2 linked regions of the Lytechinus pictus genome follow. The protein of the gene in region 2 binds, or shares a complex with, the protein of the main gene of each other region. Links are inferred from orthologs where the notes say so. Each region holds a gene or a part of one and is shown on either strand. Other genes may lie near its edges.

Region 1 (7,676 bases), on a different chromosome or scaffold from region 2:
ATACATTAACCAACAAATTCTGGAAGGTTGTCCTACATCATAACCTCTCACTCGACTCCGTGATCCCACTTTGACTTGCACACACAGTCACAGACGTGACGCCCCGTGTCGTCTGCTTCTGACTTTACTTAAACTAAACTACTGTCTTTGTACTGAGACTGACTGACCCCCTCTACCACTATATGGCAAAAGAAAGACCAATGAAAATAAGATGTGATTAAACAAACTTACCAGCTTATTGAAGTTCACAGTATGGCCATCGGCCTATCGGCATGTTTAATTGATTGCCTCAATAAGTTACAATACAAGAAGAAGTTAAAATCAACATTTTTTTTACACACCTCTTGAGGTCAAAGAAACATAATGCATAAATGAATGGACTCAATAGCAGTCAAGCAAATAATGACCATTTGGTTTATATCCCATCCCATTTTCATTGGTCTTTCTTTTGCCATTTTGTGACATTGAATGATTAGTCATTATTGCCATTATTGGATTCCGGAACCAATTGCGCCTACATAAATAAATTAATACCGGTATACCTAGTTGTTGTGTGTCCAGACGATCAGCTTTAGAAAGTCATTTGGAAAAATTTACAAGCGAAGTTTCATAAATGTTTAGTACAAAATGTTAGGAAATATTATAGAGAACAAAATAGAAGATGATTACAACTATTGAATTCATATTTTTAGTGTAATCCAAAGACAAAAAAGAAGGCTTCAAAAATATAAAGTGTCCGGACACCCGACCCCCCATCCTACTCTAAGTCTAAAAAGTCTCTAGAGCAGGGGTTCTCAAACTACGGCCCGCGGGCCGGATCCGGCCCTTGGAGCCTCTCAATCCGGCCCGCGAGACTCTGCTGGTTTTTTTTTAATCACTTTTAAGTCACAATATGAAACATAGCTTAATATGATTACATTGTGTATCCATGTAGACCTAACGGTAACCGTAATAAAAGTAATGGCAGTCAAATTAATTTGGCTTTTAAACAAAGTTTAGTGGAGTCTTTTCTGTCTGTTCGATCTACTTTCTTATTACATGACCAGCGCTGTTCTCACCATGTTTGGATTTACATACAGGTGCGAAAGTGCATTTTCCAGAATGAACAGTTTAAAGAACTAACTCATACCGAAGTACATTGACAGGGGCCGCGGAACGGTTTTAAAAGTGGGGGGGGGGGGCTGGCCATGCAAAAAATCACAATCATTATGGTCACTACGTTTTTTCACATGGTTTTGGAAAAAAGTGGGGGGGGGGGCTGAAGCGCCCCCCTTCCGCAGCCCCTGCTTGACCAGTGAACATTTGCACCAGAGCCTTCGTCTGGCAAACCTTTTGTGCCAAGGTTCAAGCAACTTGTTGCTGACAGACTGTCACTTTTCCCATATTGAAAGTGACTAAGAGACTGACATCCTTGTTAGAGTCTACAACAGACTAGACAGGAATAACCGTCGTTTCTGGGGATTTATTCAACAATTTCTGACATTTTACTGTAATCCCCATTTACCGACGGTAGGGTGTACGTGTGGGCTCGCATGTGTTCTCATTCCCTCCCTTTTGTCAATTCACAGTCCAAAGTTTGATGTAATTTTACACATCGAATTTACAATCTAAGGATGTATAAACAACAAACTTTTAATTGATGATATTCTAACATTTAAATACTTTAAACGATATAGATGAAAAAGGCATGAAAAATATACTTTACCGATGTTTAATTGGGTTGAACACGATAAAAATGGTCAAAATGGCAGCCAAACTATAAAATATTTACAAACGAACGTCAACAATCACGAATGTGATATCGATATTGCTTTCGATATTATACGATCTGCTCCATATGCGAACGAAACCAAAGATAAACGATACTAGTTATACTAGTACGAGTACTAGTTATAATCGCGATATATCGATTCGAGACATTAAGTTAATAACGACAATGACGTCATTCAAGATGGCAACTTGCAAGAAAAACCGTCAGGTCAGGTGAAAATGTCTTAGATGACAGATTTCTCAATCATCCAGAGGATTTTTTTCAATAACTCCGGCCCAAGGTATGCAATTACTTAAGTTATATATATTTCCCTGATAATGGAAACCATGAAACTTTCAATTTTGCTTAAAAAACAGTTTTAAATCGCGATCTATAAAACGCTAGTTCACTATACGTTGGCTGTAGGTACGGGGCCCCATCCCCTTCAGTCTATGTATGGTGAGTGGAGCCAACGTAGTTCAGCGGAACAACCAAAATACAGAGACTGAAGCTTTTGGTCTAACAACAGACATGCTCTATTATTCATTCTACTTTGACTACAAAAAATATTGATACTTCAAGACATTATCTGTCTCCCCAATACCAGGTATGTATAGGTATAATCTAGATTCCTTTTAACAAAGTACTACAATTTTGTTATCATTAATATTGACTCTCGCTACATGTATTTTGAAATCTTTTCTAATTTTGCCTGTGTTCCATATGAAACTGTTATAAATTTGTTGGATTAAATGCTTCCAAAATAAGGGCCAAGACCCGGGGCCAAGAGAGCATCTAGGACCCCGACCGCAAGGGTCTTTGCGCTTCGCGGACATTTTTTTAAATCTTAGTATCCACTTCACCCTGGCCCTTTCAGGTTTACTTGGAGTCTCATCTGGCCCTTCATAGAAAAAGTTTGAGAACCCCTGCTCTAGAGTCTAGTCTTATTAAATTATGCCAGCCAATCTCTTAATTATTGGTATGTGCGTAGTAAAGATTATTGAAGCTAGCCCGTGTCAAACTTTTGTTTATTTTGACTGAGTGGAATTTGTATAGCATTAGTGCGCTTGTAAAGTTTGATAAATATTTTGGAACCCAGTTTATTATAATCTACACGACACATAAAACAACGAATGGGACCGAAGGTAAACTTACTGTAGCCTTCGCTAATAAAAATACAGATTCCTGACTTGCTAGTGTCACATCGGGATCAGTTTTCATAATGTTCTTTATCCTCGTCAATGGAAATTTGTTGTTTCTCGTGGCTGTTTGAGATTTTTCATCCTCTTTCGTCTCTGAGTTTTCATTTTCTTCTTGAACTTCCCGCGGAACCGCAGAACTTTCTTCAGCCATGGTTGATTTTTTTGTCACACTAAAGAGGGCGTCCTAGTCGCAACAACTGGGGGCCGTTTCATGAAATTTGCTGACTATTGTATTTTTCCGACAGCCGCAGTAAGTATACAGTCAGAGGCCATGCCTTTCAGCCAAACAAAACTAAGGAAATAATCAGCACTGACAATTTAGTCAGTGCTGACAACTTTCATGAAACACCTACCTGTTTTATTGTCCATGCTCGGTCGCTCCGCTCACTTTGAACACCGCGGCCCCAATAAACTTGAGCATCATTATCTAAATTTAGACCCAGTGCATTTGTACCGGGAATAAATCGTCAGGAGGGACAAAATATTATTTTGACAATTAAATATAAGGTCATAGCCAAGATCCAGGCACGGATCCAGGAAGGGGGCGCTAAAATTTAAAATTTGCACCCCCTTTTGGAAAATCCTGGATCCACCCCTGCCAAGACCATCGCCATGAGATCTTAAATATATGGAGAGCAATCTATCCCTAGAAGCCCCCTTCTGCGGGTCAAGGGCGGAAATCTCTCCCCAAAGGTAGGTTGACCAGGGGCTGGAAAAATTGACAAGCAAAAAAAAAAAAAGGAAAAAAAAGGTTATCACCCCAAGTATCAGGTCATTTCGACCAAAATGAATTTTTCAAGCAAGCAAGCAAAAAAAAAAAGGTTATCACCCAAAAAATTAAGGTCATCTCGTCCAAAATACATGTTTTATTTCGATTTTGAATGATGTATTTCATTTCTTTCCTTAAAAAAAGACCAAAAATAGTAGGGGGACATTTGATATTGTGTCCCCCTACTATAGGGGGGATGCGTCCCCCCCTGTCCCCCCTGGGATTTCCACCCATGCCGCAGGTACATTATTGTATATAAATACCTAGAAAACCCTTTACGTGTATCCAATGCATCGTGAGAGTACGGTTAAAATGAATGATTTTTTAATTTTATTGTGGAACTACATCGAATTATTTTAATCTTTTATTATGATCACTGCATGCCTCCGGCGGGAGAGAGGGGTCACTGCCATTTGAGAGTGGACAACTATTGATTTATTTATCAAAATTAACACCTTTCAAAATACTAAGGCTGGTAAATCTTCCTTATTTTCTGCCATTGTGCGAATTTAAACCTTGGTATTTTATATAGCACTCTGCATTAATACCATTATTGTATCAACAGCTTAACAAGTGCATGCCTCCTCTCCCTCCTCTTCAATTTGCAGACCTTCCCATGATTTTAATCAATTGAGGACAAGTGCCATTAAAAGACTAGCAACTTTGCTCTCTCACGATAATATTAATAAATAAATAACATGATGACATTCAGAACTATTTTATTTTTTTAAAAATCGGACAACCGTACATCCAATCTTTACTAGAACTGCCAGTGACAGCCGATCGATTTCCGAGCATCACCTGATGACTTAATGTATGCCGGAATATGAATTGCTTCTCTGAGATTATGAATGGAATAGTTTGATGAAGATTGATAATTTCTAATGCGCATATATACCACTCCAGGGAATGCGCAATATAAGTTCAACATAAATGTACAGTAAATTAGACAAGTATCAAATCATACATTAATAAAACTCACACACTAATTCATAAGGTGATGGGGTATGTATAGGTTTTCAAGTTTGTTTGGAAGACAGAAGAGAAGATGATATTTGAAATGTGTGGGGGTTGCACGGGCCTAATCACAACTGGCAAGCAAAATATATTCATTCATTCATTCATTCATTTATTGGTTATTGCAACATTTTTCATAACAAAATTCTGGACAAGAAAATACATATCTGAAACTTGACATCAAGATAATGAACAATAGTTTTGTATATAAATCATCAAATATATCTTACATAAATGAAAATCATTAAGTGGTATTTTCTGTTTCACAATAAAAAATAGGATGGTTGCAAGGGTCGTCACAAAAGCAAAGCTTGAAAACGTAACAACCCTGGAATATAGCCAAAATAATTAATATCTATTGTCATTTAAACGTGCAGGTGCATGAGAGACTGGGGGGGGGGGGGGAGATGCTTGGTCCTTAGCATGGAATTTTAGAAAATAAAACGTTTTGTTGTTTGATTTTAATTTATACATGTTCTAGATAAAAGTCAATGTCTAATTAAAATAATGATAACAATGGTAATGATTTTCTTTTTTTTAATTTGTTAGGTATTGGTTTAATTGCATTTCTTTTATAGTTCGTTTCGTATAAAGGAATAAAATGATCTTGTCAGCTTGAGTGAATCTGGCAATGCATTCCAAATATCAGGTCCATGATGTCTTAGTGTTTTATGTGCAAATAGTGTCCTGGGATTGTTTAAGTGAATATTATTGCATGTTCTTGTTGGATATGAGTGTAAATTGTTATTATATGAAAATAAATCCGTGAATACCGGAGGAAGCATGTCGTAATTATATCTATACATAAACAGTGCTATTTGTAAAGTATATTTTCAGACGATAAAAAAGAGGGTCTGTATGTGAAAGATATGCAGATTTGGAACACATTCTAACCGCTTTCTTTTGCAATAAAAGTATATGATTAAGCATTGTTTTGCAGCTATTCCCCCAAATGAGGTTACAGTAGTGAATATATGGTAAAATCAATGTATTATATATCATAACAAGAGATTTCTCTGGTAAGATTTGTTTTAGTCTACATAGTATTCCAATTCCTTTAGCTACAGAGGAAGACACGTTGCTTATGTGCGGAGTCCATGATAAATGATTGTCTATTGTTATACCAAGAAATTTTACGTATTCTTTTTTATCTAAAGGCACATTATAAATTTTTATATCTTGTATACAATTTTCATTTCTATGAGATGATTGAAAATGCATAATATGAGTTTTACTTATGTTAAGAGATAACTTATTACATTTAAACCATGATGAAACTTTATTTAATTCTAAATTCATTATATTTATTAATTCTGGTAAGTTCTTGTGAGATAACAAAATATTAGTATCATCGGCGAATAAGATGAGAGAAAGAATGGAAGATGAATTTACTATATCATCAATGTATATTAAAAATAACAAAGGTCCCAGAATAGAACCCTGCGGGACGCCGCAATTGATAAACGATAAAGGAGATTTAACATCATTGATAAAAACGTATTGTTGCCTATTGGAAAGATAACTCTTAATCCATGACCAAGCAATGCCCCTTATCCCGTAATTATACAACTTATGAAGTAAAATACCATGGTCAATGGTATCGAAAGCTTTACTTAGGTCCATAAATAAAGCAATTGTGTGATTTTTTTCTGAAAGTGAGTTTACAACTTTGTCCAGCAATTTGGTTATTGCGAAATCGGTAGAGAAATTTTTTCTAAATCCAAACTGGGCTGGTGTAATAATCTTATTAAATGACAAAAAGGAATCCAATCTTTTGTAAACAATTATTTCTAATATTTTTGATATGCATGGTAAAAGAGAAATAGGCCGATAATTTGTAACTTGAGTAGGATCATCTTTTTTATGAATCGGGACTACTTTGGCTATTTTCAATAGCTCAGGAAAGCATCCAGTTGAGAGTGATAAGTTAAAAATATGTTCCAATGGAGAAACAATACATGTTACAATTTGCTTTAACAGTTTTGTACTAATACCATCATAGCCTGTTGACTTCTTTGATGTTAAAGCTTGTACTATTTTAATTATTTCATGTCGGTCTGTGGGAGTAAAAAACATTGTATTTTGATTTGGCTGGGAAAGATATTCTTTAAAATTCGTATTGTCACTAACTATCTTGGAAGCTAAATTGGGACCGATGTTTGTAAAGAAACGGTTGAATGATTGTGCGATTTCAGCCGGTTGAGATATTTCTTCATTGTCTATCTTAGGACTGTCCCTGTTGCTATGTAGTTTGCTTTTGTTAATCAATTTGTTTATAACTTTCCACGTGGCATTTAAATTTCCTTCTGCATCTTTTAATTCCTTACAATAATAATCTTGTTTGGATGAGCGGATTACACTGGTAAGAGTATTGCGATATTTTTTATACTTCTTAAGACTTTGTTCAGACGGTTTAGAAATATACGATTTATAAAGTTTATTGCGTTTTTCAATTGAACGTATAATTCCTCGAGTGATCCATGGGTTTCTTTTATCATTTTTGCGTTGTTTTCTTTGAACAAGTGGTATATTTTTATTATAATAATGAGTTAGTTTGTCAATAAAGTATTTGTAAGCTCTATTAACATCATGCTGAACCATAATTTCATGCCAGTCGTCTCTTTCTAAGTCTTCAATTAAGGCCGAAATAGTATTCAAATTTTCTTTTCTATATTTTCTTTTATTCGGCTTTTTATTATCATTAAGCTTCAGAAGTGAAGAAATAAAAAATATTGGTAAGTGATCCGTAATATCATAAGTAAAAACACCACTATGATTATTATCATTAAAAGAATTGGAAAAGATGTTATCAATTATTGTCGCTGACATTGGACTTATCCTAGTAGGTATATTTATACATGGATAAAAGTCATATGAAAATAGTGTATTCAAAAATGTATTTATGATATTCTCACTGGCATCATGATTTCCGATTAAA
Region 2 (8,268 bases):
ATCAAGCATTATCAATTTAGGTTTTTAGAGCAAATTTCAAGAATTATTAAATTGACATTTAATGCATGAGTGAACATGAAATACAAGTTTTCACTTTTTCAAGTGGATCTCAGCAATGTGTTCATGGAAGTCAGAATAGGGATAGGAATTAGGTGGGGGAAGTAGGTTGACGGGATATGGGTCAACAGAACACTTAACCCCCCCCCCCCCTCTCTCTCTCTCTACCCCTTTCACCCTTTCCTGAGAGACTAGCCTTTGCGAGGGTGAGCAGGAATAAGCCTTCCAGTTTTTTTAGAGGTGAGTCCTTCAGAACTTGCAAAGTTAAGGGTGTTATGCTAAATTAATGATGAATTGAGATCAGTTTTGGTTTCATATTAAAGCAAATTTCATGAGTTACTAAATTGAAATGTAATGCATGAGTAAACAGGAATTGTAATTTTAATGTAGCTTTTTTAGTTTATTATGTGGATCTTATCAAGTGTGCTTGTGAGAGTCAGAGTAATGTGATGGTACCTGTTACATGCAAGGGGGTGAGATAGGGTAAGACTGGGTTATAGGGGCATTCTTCTTTGTGTTCTCTTACAAATAACAAATCATGTACTCACCCCCGCCCTCCATCCCCTTTCTTTCTCCTGGATGGTATTCAAACTTAAATGACTTATGGTTGACGGGTCTTTCTTTTCCATTGAATGATTATTAAAAACTTGACTAATTATGATGATTTATGAAATAATTTATTGAAAAAGCTGAATGTTTGATTGATCATTTATTGAAAAGGGTGAATATTTGATTGATCGCACTGATTGAGTTGATTTACTAATAGATTATTGATTGAATGATAGGTAAAAGTTGATGACCTAATTTTCAGAATTTATTATCAAATTGACAGTCCGCTCTGCACTTAATACGTACATGTAATAGCAATCAACCTCAATCTCAAAAGGAGAGAGGAATGGACCTGCAGGAGGGAGGCTAAACGTTCTGTTGACCCTTTTCCCATCAGCTTACTTCACCCACTGAAGTCGTTTCTTACCCCTATTCTCCCGACTCCAATGAACACACTGCTGAGACCCACATAGTAAAGTTAAAATGCTGCACTAAAGATTGCAATTCATGCTCACTCATGCATGGAATTGCAATTTGATAATTCATGAAATTTGCTTTAACAATGCAAATTGATAATGACCATCAATTCATCAAAACACCCTCAAGTTTGCAAGTTCCAAGGGACTCACCTCTCAAAAACTGAAAGAAACCAAAAGGCTAATTCCTGCCCACCCTGATTTTCATACCCTTTGTTTAAGTGGGTAGTGCTCACTCAAGCATGAATATTTTTCCAACATTTTGGTGTCATTTGAAAGATGACTTTATTGGCTTTCCATATATATAATTCTTTCCCCCCAAAGTGATATACTTTTTATTTGGCAGCCATTTCAAAAGTGTATAGTTTTTTTTGGACGCACTGTATAAGAAAGACAAAGAAGAGGGAAAGTGTGGATTCATATTGTTTGGTAAGTTTTATGGAAAAAAGTGGTCATTAACAATGTATGATCTAGTGTCTAAATTCCGGTTATGAGGGTGTTGTTGTGCCTTGACCCTTGACCTTGTACATGTAACTTTCCTGCGCACTACGCCAGAGTCACTCAAGCCAGGGTTCATTACATGCCGCCGCGCACAAAAAAATCAAGCCATAGAAGTTGTGTGTTGTGGACGCCAGAAGTGGGATCGCAGCACGCGCGACCCAATACTTAGAAACCCACTGCCAAATGCGGTTCATGGTGCGAGGTACTCATTCAATGAACAAGGTTATGATATAACCTTGTTCTCAGTTATACATGTATCTCCATGTGTGGCAAAATAAGGATGGCAATGTTTGGCTCATTTTCTCTTTTTCTTTGGGACAAATGCTTGATTTTCTTACACGTGACAGTTTCCAATTCACCTATTCGTCGTAACTTGGCCCTTAAGTAAATTTGATGCTTTAAATTATTTTTTTCTTAATAAAAAATAGAGATAAAAAATGAAAATTTTCTTGCCATATTATTTTCCACCAATAGAGGGCGTACACAAAAATATGCCCAAAATTCAATTTTTTCGAGCGCTCTAGTGAGTACAAAAATTATTCCCAAGTTACTTATAAAAAATAAATTGCAACTGTATGGAAATTAGTAATTTTGGTCACAAAAATGATATTTTAATGATTTTTTAAAGTGTGTGCTCTGCACAGCATTGGCATGCCATGATGTAGTCCTCCTACTATCCTAGACCTATAGTCCTACCTGTAGATTCCCCACAGGCAGGGTGGTTGCAGTGAACAAGTGGGTGGTTGCAGTGAACAAGTGGTGCGAGGTTAGTATACTTCTAATACTAATCTCACAATACGTGTGACTGTGAGTGCGCCAGAGTTAGAACCTTGACCTTGAGTGGGTCTAGCCTACTGCCTAATTCTAACTTTTAAAATGTAAGTTTCTCACGTTAGATTAGATTAATGCAAAAGAGAAAAAATACAGGCTTAGAAAACTAAGTACAAAATGCAGCTTCACAATTATGGGTTCTTAAATCTCGACATGAATAATGTCATGATGAATCTCGATTCAATGACAATGAAATGATGAATGATCAATGAATGACAAACTATTTTTAAAATAGATAGTTAGGCCTATTCTAAATCTAAATTCTAATTAATCAATGACGTTTCTATCTAGTAGGCCTATCAGGTTTTTGTAGCACGTGGTGTAACATTACTCGTTAGACCTATGTTGCATTAATAGACAGGCTCGAGTCAAACAACGTCCATGAAGTCGATTGACGATGGTGCACTGCAGATGCAGCTGAATGCCTGCAAGCAGTAGGGTCCGCTCACTCACCTACCACCTCCCCCGGAACCATCGGCGTTCTCACTGCGGTCGGCCCTGTAGCGGCCGCTGTTCTGCAGAACCATTCCGAAATCTGAACAGACACTCAGTGATAATTATTTTAACTTTCTGCCTCTCATGTGAAGTTTTGTCCAAATTCAAAGCCTCCAAACGCATCAGTAATACTTCAAAATATGTGTCAGCCTGGTACATGTACGTATTCGACAGAACAATATCAAAGACAAAGTATTAAATTAGGCTTGTTCGTGTTATTCTCGATCAGTCGATGATCTAGGAAACTTCATGTTTGGCGCGGGCGCGAAAATTGTTAACTTCAAACTAAAGAGGGCGCGCAAAATGTGAGGTTCTTTATTTGAGCTGAGCTGAGGAGCCGAGATATCGATATCGGAGTCTGAGAGCGACTAAAAGTAAAACATCATGAAATTCTTAATATTTTCAGCCTTTTCCTTGTTGTTGGTGATGAAAGGTAAGTCGCTTGTCCTCGTTTACAAGAGTGTGTGCTATTTATTGTACCATTAAGTGTGTTTAAGCAGTGATGTTTCTTTTTGGTATACCCGGAAATCGGCTCAGCTCAGTGAGGACTGACGACGGGAGCTCCGACGTCGCAGTCCCGGTACCTCCGGCGCCGGTGTGGTAGAAAATTTGGACCGGAGCCCGCCAGTCCAAAACGGCTAGTAAGTAGGCCTATATTTGGGCTGTCAGTACCAGGCCAAACGGCTAGCCGATCGGGGCTGCCAGATCCAAAAGACTGGTTGAAATTTTTGCCGATACGAACGGAAAGCCGCTGTTTGGTTCCGTATTCGTCAGAAGGTTCGAATGTAGTAGGCCTAGGCCTAGGCCTAATATATAATAATATCTGCTTTGGTGAAATGTTTCAATATAGGCCTAGGCCCTATATAATTATAGGTATGTGACAAAAAAAATGAAAATCATCAAATATGAATAAATTTGGTATCATTTGAAAGCTCTTAAAAAGACCTTTCAAATGATACCAAGAACTCTAATTTTTATCAAGAAATTATAAAGTTATTCCAGTTTAAGTGAAGTCGCGCATATTCATCCAGGTTTACTTTGTGGTCATTGTCTTAATGTAAAGTCAATTCAGTGGAGTACAGAACCGATTTTTGTGACCATTTTGAACCCAAGTCTTCAACAGGCTCTAACTTTGTTTTTTAGCCCTATGAAGTAATTTAGGTATCAATGGAAAGGTGAAAGAAAACTCAATCGATGTGTAATCATTTCATCTTGTAATTTTTCTTATTATTATGTGTAAAATAATTTCTTCTAATTCTAATTAATTATGCAAATTACACAAAATCACAATTACTCGGTAACTCGCCCCTTTTTTTTGCCAAATAAAGGTGATCATGATACTTGATAGATAATTTATATAATTTAGTTGGCATCAAAACAGCATCATGTAGATAATTTCCTAAATAAATTTGTTTAAAGTATTGTTTTTGTAATTTCTAATGTATTTCCTTGTTTTTCTGATATAAATTACAAGCTCTTTTTCAACTTAGTATTGTAAATTTTGTATACATGTATGTACGGGGGTCCTTTTTTACGTATACAAATTATCCCTTTTGTACTTTGTATGACCAAATAAAAATACAAGTGTGCTTTTTTCTGATGTATTTGATTGTTTCACCAATTCCTTATGTATTCTATTGTTTCAACAATTTGTTATACATGTGTAATATGTAGCTTTTGATTTTAGAGACAATGGACATTTGATTACTTTTTTTAGGAGGGATGAGCAGCTGAGTGTAAAATATGTTATGTAGCATTATATGCAATTTATTTCAAGTATCAAGAAGTACAAAAATTAAGCTTTAATATATTCTATCAGTTTTTAATGTATTTCGTAGATTTGTATACACACATTGTATTGCAAAGGCCCTGTTTGAGCTCTCTTTTTTTAAAGAAAAATAAATGAATTCAAACTATTAGTTGAAGCCAAAAGAAAAGGAAAAGAGTGGTCTATTTCTTTCAAAACAAAACAAAAAACAACCAGGAAAAAAAGATAACAAAGCTCTAAACAACAAAACAGACATCAAAGCTCCAAACAAACATTAAAACAAGAGAAACAAAAGTGACACAAAAACTTGTACCAATCCCATCCCCATTTTCCAGTTTAAAACACAACCCCACCTGCACCCCTAATGAAAAAAAAAAGTATTTAAAAAAAGTAAAAAAATAAAATTAAAAAAAACATAAATACAGGACTTAGACCTATCTGGAAATGAAATATTATTTTCTCTGAGTTTTCATGTATTTTCTTACAAGAGTGAAAAAAAAAATTACAACAAAAAAATAAAGAACATATAGTTTGTGCATTTTAATGAAAAATCAACATATAAGATATTCTCCTTTCAAAAGCAAATCCAGTCTCCAAATAATGAAACTTGACCAAAAAAATTGAAAAAATAAACAATACAAAAATTTTAAAAAGAAACAAAAATAAAAGAAAACCTAAGGGGGAAATATGAACAGAAAAGAAACAAAAGAACAAAAAAAAAAAATGAAAATTTTAAAAATAGAAAAGAAAAGTGAAGAAAATAAAAAAGAAAAGAGAAAATAAAGAATATGAAAGAAGCTATTAAAAAAATAATCCTTTTTAAAAGAAGGGGAATGGGTCCTGCCTCGTAGTCCTGGGGAGCTGATTCACACACTCACTGATATTAAGCCTCAATCTGCCCAGCTTTCTTTTTCAAAATAAATTTGGAGTTGTGCCCCCCCCCCCCCCAATATCTTTGAATGTAGTTATATTAATCCAAAACACGAAAGAAAAGAGCAGTTAATTTGGTAAACAAACAATAAACCCCACTTCAGCAAGCAGCAAGATCAGCGCCCTAGCACAGCTGACAGCCACATACTAGCCCAGCGCAGCACCGTGAAAACTCACCAGGATGCCTATAATGCGCGCGCGGTCATGCAGCCAATTTTTGCTTGGCACATACATGTACAGTAAGTTTCGGAGCTAAAAAACATTGTTTCGGTAATCAAATCACTTAGATATTTCATATGCAGGTAATTAAATAAATATTCTACGTAGATATATAACGTTCAAAACTATACATACCTTCCTTTTTTTTAATTCAAGGCATCGAATTCGTCTCCAATCTTTTGATGGTCGACGTATCTCAGTCCTTGTTCATCGTACGGAAAAAAAATAAGCGATATCAAGCGGGATTCCCGATCTCTTGATCAATACCCCATTCATGATTTAAGGTCTAAAAATAGCACCGCTACAGCGATTTTAGCAGAGACATGCACTGTGCACTCGAACAAGAGGCGGAACGATAGTGCGGTGCAAGGAAATAACCTGCGGAAGCGCGGATTGTCACGTACCTACAATATATATATAATATTGGTGTGATTTTTATTAATTTCATCACAATTATTTCTATAATTCAGTCTAAAATTAAAAATGTTGGTCTAGGTAGATCTAGATAAGAGGTATTTCAGCCTCGTACATGTATGTTACGGACGGTACCCTCGGTACACGATGCGATGTAGTATGTACGGGTACCTTTTTTGCGCACGTGCAGCGCTGGACTGCCTGGACAGTTGACACGGTACCGTACTGTACCACGTCTCTTTTTTGGAGTAGAGTCTACTCTAACGGTAGTTTTTAAACATTTGTTTTTTAACTTTTTTATTGTAAACATGGACCGTGATTTTGTTATCCAATGCGAGGACATCTCGCATTACCTAAGGCAAACTTCAAATTGCGGGCGCGCTCATGCACACTCTTTTATTATTATTATTTCATCTCCCCCTTCATTTTCCTTCTCCCCCCCCCCCTTATTCCCTCTTCCTTTTTTCCTTTTCTCATATACTTTTCCCCATTTCTTGCGATCTCTTCTTCCTACGTTTTTTTCTCTCCCTTTTATTTTCATATATTTCCTCCTTTTTCGACTACCCGGGTCCCATGCCCCAACCCCCCCCCCAAAAAAAAAAATATGCGCATAGTGTGTGTCTCAATGAGGTGTCATTGAGAGTTCCCTGTGTTTCTGGCAGCCTTATTGTTGGACTTAGTTTTCTTGTATTGATACATTCATTTTGATTTCTACTTGATTACTTTGGGGGTTCGAAGAGCATGCAGCAGTGTTTACCCCACCATCACCCTAGTCGCCAATCCCATCCTATTTCTTGCTTGGTAATGAAGACCAAGACAAACCAGCCATATTGGTGGATATATTGAAGTTCACACCCTGAATAGCACAGGCGCACAAAGGGAGCACACAGTGTGAATAGGGCTTCATGGCTCCACCCAGCAGCCGTCCCCGGATGTTTAATTAATTGGAAGAGTGCTAAAAAATGCATACAACTTCCTAAATAACTTGAGATTCTCAAATCGGCAACTGTATCTGTTCTGTGGGTGTGGTTGACTTGGAGGAGCAAATTGGTTGAAAAGGACGACTGGAATATCACAATCTTGCTGTAGGGGGGATAATGGTGCATGAACAGCGTATAGGAACAAATCGCCTGGTCGGAACAAAGCGACTATGACGATCGCATCACACAACAAATGTCGGAACTAATCGGCGGGTAAAAGAGCCGCCGATTAGTACCTCCGGCCCCGATCGGCTGCCCGGTCCAAATCGCCTATGACACCGGCAGGTGATGAGCTCAGGGGCCTGTTTCATGAAATGGTCTTTGGTAGAGCCGCTGGAAGTACATGTATTACGTTACATCAAAAGAACGAGATATGGCTCAACTGTTTCACAAAGTCAAAGGCAAAGCCAATTTGGGCGATGCGAAGAATGGTCCTTTGAAAGACACCTCATCGACACCTCCAGACATGTCCTACGTACATGTAGGCATATCATATAATCATGATCTTCTTTGCACACCACCCGCCACTGTCGGCATTGAAAGAAAATGCGTTTAATGTACGGCAAGCCACAATATCATTATTACCTTTAAACTTTTTTTGGGGGGGGGTCATTCCTTTCGATTGCACTCTGATGCATTTTATCTGGGATGGCGCCAAGTTATTTCTTGTATGGGGGCTAGTTGTCATCAATTTCAGGTCGTCTTGCACGGCAACAAGACGACCTAAAGCGAATGCCATTTTAACTTCTCCGGGTTATCAAATAATTGTTTAATATGTTTTCTTTTATTTTCCCTCTTGTCTTTTCCCCACCCCTTTTTTATTTTTCAATCAAACTTGAAATATCGAAATGGGCGGCAATCTCTCTGACCCCTCATGTTTTCTCATTAGATAAACAACATGAAAACAATTTTTTTAGATAGAAATTATGTATGGTAAAAAACGTGTTTATAAAGTTCAGCAAAAAAAAAACATGATACAAAACTAAGATGTTACTAAAAATGCTATATAATTTTTTTTTATTCATTATAATTTTTTTTGTTGTTGCTG

Evidence for each region. Proteins that work in one complex are often made in the same cells at the same time.
Region 1: DNA polymerase epsilon catalytic subunit A-like (region 2) and DNA polymerase epsilon subunit 4-like share a complex: the UniProt entries of both Homo sapiens proteins name them as parts of the DNA polymerase epsilon complex. The link is inferred for Lytechinus pictus from reciprocal best matches to the Homo sapiens genes POLE and POLE4.

What each region holds. Positions count from the first base shown.
Region 1 is NC_087255.1:27,939,434-27,947,109, reverse strand, and holds the start of DNA polymerase epsilon subunit 4-like, read right to left. Parts: upstream 3,132-7,676; 5' UTR 3,104-3,131; coding exon 2,906-3,103; intron 1-2,905. UniProt on the Homo sapiens protein: Accessory component of the DNA polymerase epsilon complex. Participates in DNA repair and in chromosomal DNA replication.
Region 2 is NC_087252.1:33,394,854-33,403,121, forward strand, and holds the start of DNA polymerase epsilon catalytic subunit A-like, read right to left. Parts: upstream 3,197-8,268; 5' UTR 2,942-3,196; coding exon 2,868-2,941; intron 1-2,867. Other genes in the region: MAM domain-containing glycosylphosphatidylinositol anchor protein 2-like, read left to right, coding at 3,294-3,342. UniProt on the Homo sapiens protein: Catalytic component of the DNA polymerase epsilon complex. Participates in chromosomal DNA replication.